3 linked regions of the Cricetulus griseus genome follow. The protein of the gene in region 1 interacts with the protein of each later gene in a biochemical or structural test. Links are inferred from orthologs where the notes say so. Each region holds a gene or a part of one and is shown in the gene's direction. Other genes may lie near its edges.

Region 1 (4,347 bases):
TACCAGACATAAAAGTACACACTTGTATTCGGGCACTGGGAAGGTGGAGAAAAAAGATCTCTGGTGCTTAACACTGGCCATTCTAGCCTAACTGAACTTCAGGCCACAAGAGACCCAATCTCAAAGGTTGTGAAAGGTGTTACTGAGGATGACACCTCCACATGCACAAGCGTATATGTGAGTGGGCATGCATGCATGCATGTATGTGTACACACACACACACACACACACACACACACACACACACACACACACACACAAGAAAACTGCAAATCAGTAACAAAACACCAAAGATCTCAGTCCAAGACAATGCACAAAGGCTATCATAGCTATTTCTAAAAAGAAAACATACAAATGGTCAACAGGTATATGAAAAAAGTATTCAACATCACTAATCCCTGGGGAAAATGCAAATCAAAGCTACAATAATATATACTGTTCCATACCTGTTAGAATGACTGGTACATAAATTGATGAAATTATGTGGAATAACAGAAACCTTTTTGGAGATGTATACTATATACTGTGAAGACATTATAGAACACATGTGGAGATCTCAGAAAAATCAAAATTTCCATGTGATCAGCAGTCCCACTGCTAGACATATGACCAGGGAACTAAAACCACTATGTCAAGATTTTTATGCTCCTGCATACATTATGTCACTATTCGCTATAGCCAAAAGATGAAATCTATGTAAGAATCTAAGACACATAAACAAATAAAAGCAAACAACAAAAAAACCCTCTGTGGTATGTATATACACACATATGCCAAATATACACACATGTATATACATTCACACACATATACATATACTGGAGTATTGTGTGGCCTTTTAAAAGGAAAATTCTGTCCTTTGTAGCAATATAGATGACCCAAAGAAACATTATGCTAAGGGAAATAAGCCAGAAGCAGGAAAGCAAATACCATACATCCTTCCTGGTTGCTGAGGATTGAGCATAAGGGAAATGGGAAGACTGGACAGAGTTTCCATTAGGCCCTGGAGAACTGATAGACAACAAGATGACTACAGTTAGCAATACTGTATCATATAGTTGAAATTTGCTAAGGAAGCAAATCTTATGTTTTCTCAACACAGAGACAATGACAATTCTACAAAGTGATGGGTATGTTAATTAAATTGATGATGACAATTATTTCACAGTGCATACTTATATCAAAACATCGCTATGGTAATCATTTAAATACTTTATCAGCTATATCCTAATAAAAGTGGATGAAATTTGAAGTAAGAGAAATAGCCATTACCAGATCCAGCTGATGACCTGCTGTAAAGGACAATGTGAGCAGAGCTCACATTTAGATGGATTTGTTCCATGTAGCTACACACTGTGGGTGTCTGCTTTACTCAGGTAAAGGCTAACTTCCTTCTCACTGTAAAGCCATGTGGATGGTGCTAGGAAGACATAATGCACTCCTCCCTCCCTGGGTAGTCTGAGTGAACTCAGCTCCCTCTCTATGCATTCTTAGAGGACTGCTTTCTCCTCCAGAACTTGACTCATAGTCTGTTCTTTTGTCCATTTCAGAAATTACCATGGTTGACACAGAGATGCCATTCTGGCCCACCAACTTCGGAATCAGCTCTGTGGACCTCTCTATGATGGATGACCACTCCCATTCCTTTGACATCAAGCCCTTTACCACAGTTGATTTCTCCAGCATTTCTGCTCCACACTATGAAGACATTCCATTCACAAGAGCTGACCCAATGGTTGCTGATTATAAATATGACCTGAAGCTCCAAGAATACCAAAGTATGTTCACTTTTCAAATGGCTAAGAGATACATGAAGACAGCACATGTCTCTTCCCAACCTTTTTTCCCCTTTCCTTCCCTTCCCTCCCTCCTTTCCTTCCTTTCTTGATGCCTTCTTAGGAGCGTGTCTAGCCTGATTACATTGCCAGTTGTATCTTAGGCTTAGTCCATCCTGTAAACTTTGAATTCTTCCAGCTTCTTATTAGTTAATAAATCATAGTTGTAGACCAAATGACTGGTCACCACTAAGTTACTATTTACAGTTATATTTTTTTCTAATCTGTAGTTTGTGACATTTACATTGTACAAATTTACATTTTTAACACTGTAGCTGATTGATAGATCATCATGCCATTAAGTAAATTACCATCAAACATCAGACTTTAAAAAAAAAACAGAACTGAACTGAACTTTTCAAGATAAAGTATCATTTCTGTGATGCTGTTTCCTTGATTTTTATCTTGTGGGTTGATGTGCTGGTTTTCCAGAGTCACCCCTGTGTCACTGGCAATCATTACCTGATAATAAGTAAGAACTTCCTGTAATTTCTAGTTGTTTTCTTTAGATAGATAGTATACGTGGTTGTATTTATCTGTGTGGTTCTGGGTTAAGGCCAAATATGGAAATTCATTAGGCCTGAACTACCAGCAAAGGCAATAGGTTTCTCCTGCTCTCTATCACAGATCACTTTACAAACCACCTTTTGACTCAACTCTGTTGATAACCTGCCACCTCAGGCTGCAATTTTGGCATCTTCTCAGCCATGTTCCTTCTGTTGCTTTTTCAAGGAAGGTTTAAAACTACTTCTAAAGTGCAACATTTCAATGAAACCCATAATAACAGAATGAGTGCCAGATGCAGCCCATCCTTTTGCCAAATAAGCTGCATGGCTTCAAACCCTGAGCAGTGTCTGTAGGGTATGTGGGAGAGAGGGGGCAGACTTAATTCCCTCGATCTTAATTCCCTTCCGGATTTATTTGTGCAGGTGAGGTTCTGGGGTGTTGGGACTTGCCTGAGATGATAAAGTCTTACTTTTTCCTATCTGAGCACCAGTGCATTTTCATGCTCCCCAGCACCTCTCCTCCAAGATAGTAACGTTATGGCATGAAAATATGAAGGCCACCATGGGAAGCCACGGTGCCTTTTTAGGATTGTTTGTCATGAGATAACCATCTTCTCAAATTTCCCAATACACAGGTGCGATCAAAGTAGAACCTGCATCCCCACCTTATTATTCTGAAAAGGCCCAGCTCTACAACAGGCCTCATGAAGAGCCTTCCAACTCTCTCATGGCCATTGAGTGCCGAGTCTGTGGGGACAAAGCATCAGGCTTCCACTATGGAGTTCATGCTTGCGAAGGATGCAAGGTAAAAATAGAATTTAAAAAAATCATCCAAGAATTTTCTGAAATTTTACCTATTCCATTTCCTGTTGCAAACTCACTGTAAAAAAAATTAAGATAAAATAGTAATTTTTTTGGCAGAACTCATTCTTCAAGTAATATAATATTTGAAAAATCTAAGAAAAGCTGATAAAAGTGGGGTTATTCTGCCTCTCCTCCCCTTCTCCAAAATGACTCTTGAGACACTCATCCAAGTGTATCTTGCAGAATTTTTTTTAAAGGACTTGTCCAAGATGTCATAGAAAAACAGTGAGTGGTGAGCCAGCATCAGAACCTAAGTTCCCTGATTTCCCTAGGGTGGTTTTCGCCATGCTATGTAATCTCTTATACGCGTACGATTTGACAGATTATATTTGTGTATCATTTGATCCATAGACTAATGCTATAATATTGAACGTATTTCTACATTGTGGCTATAGAAATTGTGAATCAAAGGCATGGGGTCACCAGAGTGAGGGCTGCCATGGTAGAGCAGGTGCAAGATCGTAGATTTCACCCTTAGGAAAAGCAAAATTATGGATTAGTAAGGTTTGTTCCTACCAAGCCCTAAGCTAGTACTATGTTTCCTTGGCCCCGTGTCAATCTAAGCCTGTTCAATATGCGAAAAGAGATAACTATGCACTTCCTTTGTGAAAGAGTACTTTAGGAAGTTAGTGATATGCTGCCCCAGTTATAAGGAAAATACATGAATAGATTCATGTTTTTATATAGTTTTAAAATAATCTTAACATACTCAGGGATAAAGTAATATTTATCATGTGCCCATAGAATGCCTTGCCTTATAAATACTGGGGGTTTGGTAGTGCATGTCTTTAATACTAGCACTCAGCAGCAGAGGCAGGAGAATTTCTGTGAGTACAAGGCCAGCCTGGTCTCCAAACAAAATAAAACATAAATGAATGAAGTAAGTACTGCTTCACTTGAGCTTTTCCTGGGTAATAAAGACGAAACACACCAGGCAGGCATGTGTTAGTACTTCTGGGTTCCAGATGGACAATAGGCCAAAAAGGGAAACTAGTTTTTATTAAATTCTTACCCCCAGCAGATAGTACGCGCGCGCGTGCGCGCGCACGTGTGTGTGTGTGTGTGTGTGTGTGTGTGTGTGTGTGTGTGTGTGTGTGTGTGTGTTTTGCCAATATTTAACCACATTCTACAAACATTTTCTC
Region 2 (4,272 bases), about 69 Mb from region 1:
CTGGCGTCTGCCTGGGAGGAAGCATGGCACGGGAACCGGAGGCCTGGGTGACCCTGACCCTGAGCCGACGGAGAACGGGACGGCTCGTTGAGGACTCCTCCTCGCTCGGCCAGAGCCACCTCCGCGCTGAGTGGAAGGCTGCGTGTCCGCAGTCGACGCTTGTACTTTAAAGACCTCTGCGTGTCGTGCATCCTGCCTTCTCGGCCAAAGCACCGGTTATTTCAGATGATAAGGGATGCACTTTATGCGTCTTTCATTCCCGGTTATTTCAGATGATAAGGGATGCACTTTATGCGTCTTTCATTCCGTCTGCCTCGTGGGTGAACCACGATCTCGTTTATGCAAAAGCACTCGGACTTAATAAGTCGATTAACCGATAGTTAGCGCTGCCCTGGTCCCGGCGCTGGGGAGGGAGGAACGCTGTCCGGGGCCGTTTGCGCCCGGTTCACAGCCAGCCCTCAGGAATGCAATCATGAGACAATTAGAGAGCAGTGCAGGAAAATCTATAATCAACTCCTTTGCGGGGTGCGGTAAAGGCTGCCTGCTCCCGCTGTCGCAGCGTCTGTGGCTCGTCTGCGGGGGAGTGACTGACCTGCCAGTCCTCGTGGGCCACACCCTGGCTGACTCCAGTGGGCCTGCTCTCAAGACTGGGATCTGGGGGGCACCCAGGCTGCAGTCTGCTGGCCTCGGCATGTCAGAGCGGGGCCCCCGCCGGAGTCCGCGGCTTTGGAGACCGTAACCGAGGGGTGTCTGGCGTGTGTCACACCGGCCTCTAACGGGCACACCTGCCTCGATGCCCGGCCCTGTGCTCAGCTGGCCCCTGTGCGGTCACCAGCAGTGGGACACCGCTCACAACCGTCCCCCCTCGGTCCCGGGGTCGCCAGGTGGCCTAGGGAGACACGGGGGGCACCGGCGCTGAAGCTGTCAGCGGGTCGCTGCCGACTCAACACACCCAACCAGGTCAGAGCCGGGCCCGCAGCGCCCGGGATCTAGGCCGTCCCGCGCCTGCTCCAGGCTCGGCGGGCGCAGCCGCCCCCACCCTCGCTGTATTCTGGAACGCGTAGTCCCTGAGCGGCCCTTTTCTGAAAGGCTGTGAACACAGAGAAGGAATAATAACAAGAGCGGGGCACACTGGGAGCCTCCGCGCCTTGGCGGAGACGCCCGACAAGCGGACACGCGATGCTTCCTGGGAATTGAAGTTTTAGGTTTGCCTCCGCGGTGGAAACGAGTCCCGGGAGTTGATCGCTGCATAGAGTCCGACAGCGGCCTGTTGGACTTTGTAGTCCTCGTGCCCTCCGCTACGGGCGTTCTTGGGGAACATGGCCACCCCGGAACTACAAGTCCCAGAAGCCTGTGCGTGGGGGAGTGGGTGGGCGGGGTTGGAGCTGTGGGTACCACCTCCTCTGCAACGCCGGGGCCGGGAGTCTTAGAACCGAGGGCCCGCAGGGGTCCCCGCGGCCGCTGCGATGCAGAAATACGAGAAACTGGAGAAGATTGGGGAAGGTAATGGAACCACGAGATGTTCCTGAAAGGTCCTTTTCTGAAGACCCTGCTTGCAGTCCCAGCTCCCTTACCGTCAGCTATACCTGCAGGCTCCGACCGCAGCACTGGGCAAAAGCCCTGGCCGCTGAGTCCAACACTCGGTGCAGACACCAGCCCTTCTCCCTGTGTTAGCATCTGCCGCAAACTCTTGCTCCTAGCTTTAGCAGTCTCTGTGGACCGTTTTTTCCTAGCCGCGGCACTTCCTGCATTTTTCACCCCTAGCCTCAGCATCACTTGCAAACCTCACCTGGAACCCCTGCTTCAATTCCCTGCAGAACTCCCAACCTTAACATTTTTTTTGCAGGCCTTTACCGCTCTCCTAGATGACTCCTCGATACTTCCCGACCCACCCCCACCCCCACCCCCCGAGCTTATGGCAGATTCTCCCTGCAGCTGGAGCCTTGAACCGGTTTAGGGACCTCCACCTTAGCATCCTCACTCACAGAACTACTCCATACCTAGCCTTCACCTGAAAACTTGCCCTTGCACACTAAGATGTTGAGGAGGATCCTCTCCCTCACCCCCGACCTTCCCCTAGGCACCTATGGAACTGTGTTCAAGGCCAAAAACCGGGAAACCCATGAGATTGTGGCTCTGAAGCGTGTGAGGCTGGATGATGACGATGAGGTAAGACAGAGGCATGGGGGGAGAGGTGCAGGGCCTGTCTGGGGTGGGCTGTGACTACTGTCCCCTTGCACATTGTAGGGCGTGCCAAGTTCAGCCCTCCGGGAGATATGTCTACTCAAGGAACTGAAGCACAAAAACATTGTCAGGTGAGGTCTCTTGGAGGAGACAGACCCCCATCAGACTGGACTGTATTGGGATGCTAGAGGCCAGCTTGGGGATCTGTCTGAGTCTTCCATTCTCTCTAGGCTTCATGATGTCCTGCATAGTGACAAGAAGCTGACGTTGGTTTTTGAGTTCTGTGATCAGGTGAAAGAGGGCTGGGTGGTGGGAGAGGTTAGTGCTCATGGGAGGGTATAGGAGTCCAGACTAAAGCTGAACTCTGTTCTCTGCTCCACACCCTCATCTATATTTAGGACCTGAAGAAATATTTTGACAGCTGCAATGGTGACCTGGACCCTGAAATTGTGAAGGTGAGGAGAGAAGTGTCTGGGATTTATGGAGTTAGGGTGTGCCTAGGATATCCATCAGCTCTCCTTGAGTAACAGGTTGAGCTCCTGGAGTACCAGAGAAAATCTGTTTCTGCCTTCCAAGGGCTACTAGTCTTAGTGAACATTTTTATTCGGTCTCCTTTGACTTGCACAGTGTCTGATTTCAGTGATATCATATGCACATAAGAAATATCTCATGGGTTCAACAAATACCAGCCCTGCGTAGTGGCAAATACTTCTAACTTTAGCACTCGGAAGTCTGAGGCAGGAGGATCTCAAAACCAGCCTGAGCTGCATAGCAGGGCCTTGCTTCAAACATCAGGGCAAAAACAAAACAAAAAGATTAGAGTGATGGCTCAGCAGTTAACTCATATTAATTACTCTTGCAGATGATGAGTTCAGTTCCCAGCAACCACACAAAGTGGCTCACAACCACTTGTAACTCCAGATCCAGGGGATCCAGTACCTTCTTTTGGCCTCCAAGGGCACATACCCCCCCTACACACATGCATACATAATTTAAAAATTAAGTAAATCTTGACAGAGAGAGAGTGAGCGAGAACAAGAGAGAGAGAAAGGCAAACAAAACAAATATATGCTGTAGGTTTTGCTTTTTACCAGGCACTTTTCTAGGCCCAAGACCAAGTACCGTGGCCCAGGTTCCAAGGGAATCAGGTCCTGAGTAATACTATAGCTTTGTATTTGTGTTGATGGTCAAGGTGTGTGTGCTAAATTGCAGCCATGTAGGGAAAACCAGCATGGACTGGAGATGCAGGAGGGCCCACCAACCATCAGTTAAGAAAGGTGTGAGGCCGGGCAGTGGTGGCGCACGCCTTTAATCCCAGCACTCGGGAGGCAGAGGCAGGCGGATCTCTGTGAGTTCGAGACCAGCCTGGTCTACAAGAGCTAGTTCCAAGACAGCCTCCAAAGCCACAGAGAAACCCTGTCTCGAAAAACAAAAAACAAAAAACAAAAAAGGTGTGAGTAGCAAGGAAAACTTGGTTACTGTTGTACCTCTACTACCTAGTGCATGCAAAGCAGAGTCTCACAAGTAACTCGATGAGAGGCTGAAAAGATAGTTCATTTGTTAAGAGTACTTGCTGCTCTTGCAGAAGACTCTGTTCCCAGTATTCATATTGGGTGGCTCACAACTACCTGTAACTTCTGTTCCAGGAGATCCTACCCCTTCTTTTGGCTTCCACAGACACACACACACACACACACACACACACACACACACACACACACACGCACTAAATTACAGAGTAATTGGATAGACTTCTTGACTTGCTGCAAGTCATATGGGCTATAGGACACAGTGGGTCTGACTCCCTCTTCCCTGCCTCTCCCAGTCATTCCTCTTCCAGCTGCTGAAAGGCCTGGGATTCTGTCACAGCCGCAACGTGCTGCATAGGGACCTGAAGCCCCAGAACCTGCTCATAAACAGGGTATTTCTCCGGGAACAGGGAGTGAGGTTGCAGAAGCTGGAGCCTGGGATGGGGAGCATAGTGAGTAGGATGGGGAGAAGGAAGCCGGAGCCTACCTTAAAAAGTATCCTCCGTGTCCCCTTTGTGTTATCTCCCCTCAGAATGGGGAGCTGAAATTGGCTGATTTT
Region 3 (4,297 bases), on another chromosome or scaffold:
TACAAGATAGGCATTAAACAAAAATGAATGAATAAATAAATAAATAAATAAATAAATAAATAAATAATAAAAACAAGGAAGTAAGAGGGACAGACACTAGTTGGGATGAAGAATGGGCAAGTGAAATAAGCAGGAGAATGTGACTCAGAGATGCTAATAGGGATGAATACAATCACAGTAAATTCTGTACATGTATGAAGTTGTCAAAAAGAAAAGGGGGAAATTGAAGGTGTCTTCGATTTTCTTACATTTCAGTGACCCTACATAACTGAAAGGGGAGTGTGTGTGGGGGGGAACAGAAAACCAAGAGGGAGAATGGAAGAGAGAGAGGTCCCGTACCAACTGGTGTGCTCTAATCCCCTCTCCTGACCAGTAAGGCTTACGCTCTTAAAGTGAGGGAGCTAATGGGTGTAAGAATTATCAAGTTAAGACACAAGTCGCATGGTTGACTAGAAAGAGGCCCCTGGTCTCATGTCTGTCTGACGTGAAAGGAGGCTCCGTGACAAATGCCAGCATTCAGGCTTTCTTCTATTTGTCAATAGTATCTTAGGATGGTTGGGAACAGGAACAGTTATCAGCTTTCTGCTTCTCAAAAGCATGAAAGGTTCTCACAGTAACAATCTTGTGATTATTGTGTTCCCAAGATTCAGCTACAAGTACATAACGTTTGCAGCCCCCCAGCTCCTTGATCCAAGCATCCCGGGCACAGTGGGTGGTTGATTGAATTAAACTGAGCATTATTGCCTGCTTCCACCAATGATTTTCAATTTTAGGGTGCATATGTATAGCCAGGAGATGGATTTCATTGAAACTCACACTCAGGCAGTTTGGCTGGAGCTGAAGGGAAGGTGTTTCAGACTGTTGGTGCGATGCTGAAGCTACTAGTATGGGTTTACACTTTTCAAGGTCTTAAAATGAGATCTCACTCTCCAAACATTATACAAAATGCAAGTTATACAAATTGTAATCGTTCCATAAAAGTTTACAAAGATTCCATAGAAATGGAATATTTTCTCTTTTAAGTACTTCTTCCTCCGATAAAGGGAATAAATTAGACATCGGAGTCCAATAGCAAGAGTTGGAACAGAGCCCTAACTTGCTTCCCCAGGTTCGCTACTCTCCTCTTTCCCAGGTAGGGGAAGGAGGGATAAAATGAGGAAGGAAGAGAGGGTCCACGATCTCCAGCGCTGAGAAGTTCCCCTTGGATTTCCAGTTTCTAAGGATTCTTTGCCCCTTTGAACTTCCGAGGTCATGAGCGCGCACATTCAAGCGCAATGGCGCGTCCCCCTCTGCGCCCTTGTCCTGGCGGAGGAGGCGGACGCGCTTGCGTGCGCGCTCAGTATAAATAAGTCCCAGGCGGCAGCCACTGGGCAGAACGGGCTGTAGGAGCCTCGGGCCATGGCGGGTGAGGACCACCCGTTGCAGGGCAGCATCCTCTACAATTTACTGATGAGCGCGAAGCAGAAGCACGCGGCTGCTCCAGTAGAGCCCAAGGTGCGCTTGGGGGTTCAGTGCTGGGGTTGTGCCTGCGGTGCTCAGTCCATCGGGGACGAGGAGGGACTGCCCGGAGGGCAAACCTCGTCCCTCCTGTACCGCTGCTGCCTTTGCGGGGAGAACCACCCGCGCCAGGGCAGCATCCTCTACTCTATGCTCACTAGCGCCAAGCAGTCAGGCTCAGGGACCCAGGCGTCCAGGGCGCGATTCGGAGCCCCGTGCTGGGGCTGTGCCTGCGGCAGCCCCGAACCCCTGGTGAGTAGAGAGGGGACACCGGCCAGGCGGGCAGCCTCGCTCCTGTACCGCTGTTGCTTCTGCGGAGAAGAGCACCCGAAGCAGGGCAGCATCTTGTACAGCTTGCTCACTAGCGCCAAGCAGACGCACGTGTCTCCGGAAGCGTCCGAGGCACGTCGCGGAGGCGAATGGTGGCAGCTGTCTTACTGTACGGAGAGTATGGATGACCCAGAGGGGCTGCAGAGCGCACAGGCCATGGCGTTCTTGTACCGCAGCTACGTGTGCGGTGAAGAGCAGCCCCAGCAGAGCAGCTTAGCCTGTGGCACACCCGGGAGCTCAGATCAACTGCCCCGGGCTCCGGAAGAGCAGCCTAGGGCCCTCTGGTGGGACGCCTCTTCTGGAGTGCAGCGTCCGTTGACTCTCAAGAATCCACAGGTGGTGTGCGAGGCAGCATCGGCTGGCCTGCTGAAGACACTGCGCTTTGTCAAGTACTTGCCCTGTTTCCAGATACTGCCCCTGGATCAGCAGCTGGTGCTGGTGCGGAGCTGTTGGGCGCCCCTACTCATGCTTGAGCTGGCCCAGGATCACCTGCACATCGAAATGATGGAGATCTCCGAACCTAGCGTACTGCAGAAGACGCTCACCACCAGGCAGCAGGAGACCCAGGGTGCTGAGCCCGCAGATCCCCTGGCCAAAGAGCAGCCACAGATGGTGTCCACTGCGGAGGCTGGACACCTGCCCTCGGCCGCCGCGATCCAAGCCATAAAGAGCTTCTTTCTCAAGTGCTGGAGTCTGAACATCGATACCAAGGAATATGCCTATCTGAAGGGGGCCGTGCTCTTTAACCCAGGTAAGCATGGCAGCCTTTTCCATTACCTCTCTAGGTCACAAAAGCAACACCCCTACACACAGGCACTTAGGAGTTTTCAGTGGCTGTAGGTGTGTTGGAGCCCACGTGAAGCCTCGTGACAGACTCTGCAAAGCTAATGATGAACACATCCCAAAGTGGGTGAGTTTCTGCCAGAAACTCGGTACTGGATGGGGTGGGTGAGGAGAAAGCCTTTTACTTGGAGCTCTACTTTTATTATCTTCGTGGGACATGGCTCTCTCTTCCTTGTTTAGCCGTCTCTGAGGTCCAAGAGCATAACTTAAAAACAAAGTTTTTGCTCTTTTCACACAAGTTCTTCTTAAGTTACTGTTTTCCAAATTTCCCTTTAAGAAGAGCTTGTGTTGGGTGCAGGGTGATTTGTCTTCCCAAGCTCCTCCCCTCTGAAGGTAATAGTTCAGCCCAGTCCAGATTCTGCAAGTCTGCAAATACAAGTGGCTCAGGTGATTCTTGAGGCCATCTGACAGTTTTCTCATTCTTTCGGCCAATTGTTATTCCTGCACTATTGAGATTCAAAGTGGAGACCAAGGTCTCAGCTTTCAGAAGTCGCTATTTCCAGTAGTTTCCCAATTGCCTTGACCCTGTTTCACATCCTTTGCCTCCCTTAACACACACACACACACACACACACACACACACACACACACACACACACACGTGTACACACACCTCATTCCCTCCCTCTTTCTCTCTCCGTCCCTCTCCCTCCCTCTCCTCCACCCTCTCTATCTCCTCCCTCATTCTTCCCATTCTTCCTCTATTTTTTTAGTTCTCTCTCAATGGGAATTTATCTTGCCAAAGTGTGTTTTTAAATAGTAATGCAACCACATTTGTGCACAATGTAACATCTGTAAAATGTGTGGCCTCTCTTTCCTGATTACCTTTCTGCATCCCCTTGTCTTTATGTTTATATATAACAAAGATACACAACGTTTATATTGGATATAGATATACAAATGGGTTTTAACATAAGGAGATAAGTAAAGGATAAGGAGATATGTAAACTGTGGAGTCCATCTGCCTTTTTTTCTGTCTTTACATTGAAGAGAAGTTTTGTGGGGGTGGAGAGGTAAAAGTAGGGGGGGAGTGGGACAGGAAGATGTGAGGAGTTGGAAAGGAGGACCAAACAAAACAGTGTGAATGAGATAGCCATAAGTAAACCTCTTAGTTTGTATCATAAAAAAGAATTTTTATTGCAAAGAAAAAAATAGTTACTTTAAGGAGAGGGCCAGGGACTGTGTTGTGAAATGTAATGGGTGCCTTCACAAAATGAAGCTTTGGCAAACCACAAGTCTGTGTAGACCTAGAGAAACTTTCTCAGTGGGATCAAACCTTTGGTATCAGGATAGAAATAGAATGCAGGATGTTACTACATGGGCTGTTGTAATCTGAATTATAATCTAGATAAGAAATGTTTCCATATTGTGTTGCTTTTTATGATTTATTATTTGCCTATAATAGGAATGTTTCTTTTCTATCAAGATTATTATTTTTAAAGCATGATGCCTTTAAAATAATCATGTGTTGAATTTTGTAGAAAAAGGAAGGAAAGTTATATCATCATTTAAACCAAATCTGTTTTGAAGTTGCTTTTGAATCATGTTACACTCTGTGATGTTTTTGTTTATCGTTAACCTTTTAATATCACTAAAATGCTTTTTGAAAAAAACAAAAGACTTCTGT

Evidence for each region. The genes of interacting proteins can lie anywhere in the genome.
Region 2: of the proteins of Pparg (region 1) and Cdk5, one has a biochemical effect on the other in vitro, tested with the Homo sapiens proteins (3 studies listed by BioGRID, with this or other methods). The link is inferred for Cricetulus griseus from reciprocal best matches to the Homo sapiens genes PPARG and CDK5.
Region 3: the proteins of Pparg (region 1) and Nr0b1 form a complex in vitro, tested with the Homo sapiens proteins (2 studies listed by BioGRID, with this or other methods). The link is inferred for Cricetulus griseus from reciprocal best matches to the Homo sapiens genes PPARG and NR0B1.

The regions. Positions count from the first base shown.
Region 1 is NC_048601.1:29,399,464-29,403,810, reverse strand, and holds the start of Pparg (peroxisome proliferator-activated receptor gamma), read left to right. Parts: upstream 1-1,541; 5' UTR 1,542-1,558; coding exon 1,559-1,778; intron 1,779-2,976; coding exon 2,977-3,146; intron 3,147-4,347. UniProt on the Homo sapiens protein: Nuclear receptor that binds peroxisome proliferators such as hypolipidemic drugs and fatty acids.
Region 2 is NC_048601.1:98,098,655-98,102,926, forward strand, and holds the start of Cdk5 (cyclin-dependent-like kinase 5), read left to right. Parts: upstream 1-1,373; 5' UTR 1,374-1,466; coding exon 1,467-1,503; intron 1,504-2,080; coding exon 2,081-2,169; intron 2,170-2,247; coding exon 2,248-2,315; intron 2,316-2,414; coding exon 2,415-2,475; intron 2,476-2,582; coding exon 2,583-2,639; intron 2,640-4,009; coding exon 4,010-4,105; intron 4,106-4,245; coding exon 4,246-4,272. UniProt on the Homo sapiens protein: Proline-directed serine/threonine-protein kinase essential for neuronal cell cycle arrest and differentiation and may be involved in apoptotic cell death in neuronal diseases by triggering abortive cell cycle re-entry. Interacts with D1 and D3-type G1 cyclins.
Region 3 is NC_048604.1:82,193,628-82,197,924, reverse strand, and holds the start of Nr0b1 (nuclear receptor subfamily 0 group B member 1), read left to right. Parts: upstream 1-1,398; coding exon 1,399-2,578; intron 2,579-4,297. UniProt on the Homo sapiens protein: Nuclear receptor that lacks a DNA-binding domain and acts as a corepressor that inhibits the transcriptional activity of other nuclear receptors through heterodimeric interactions.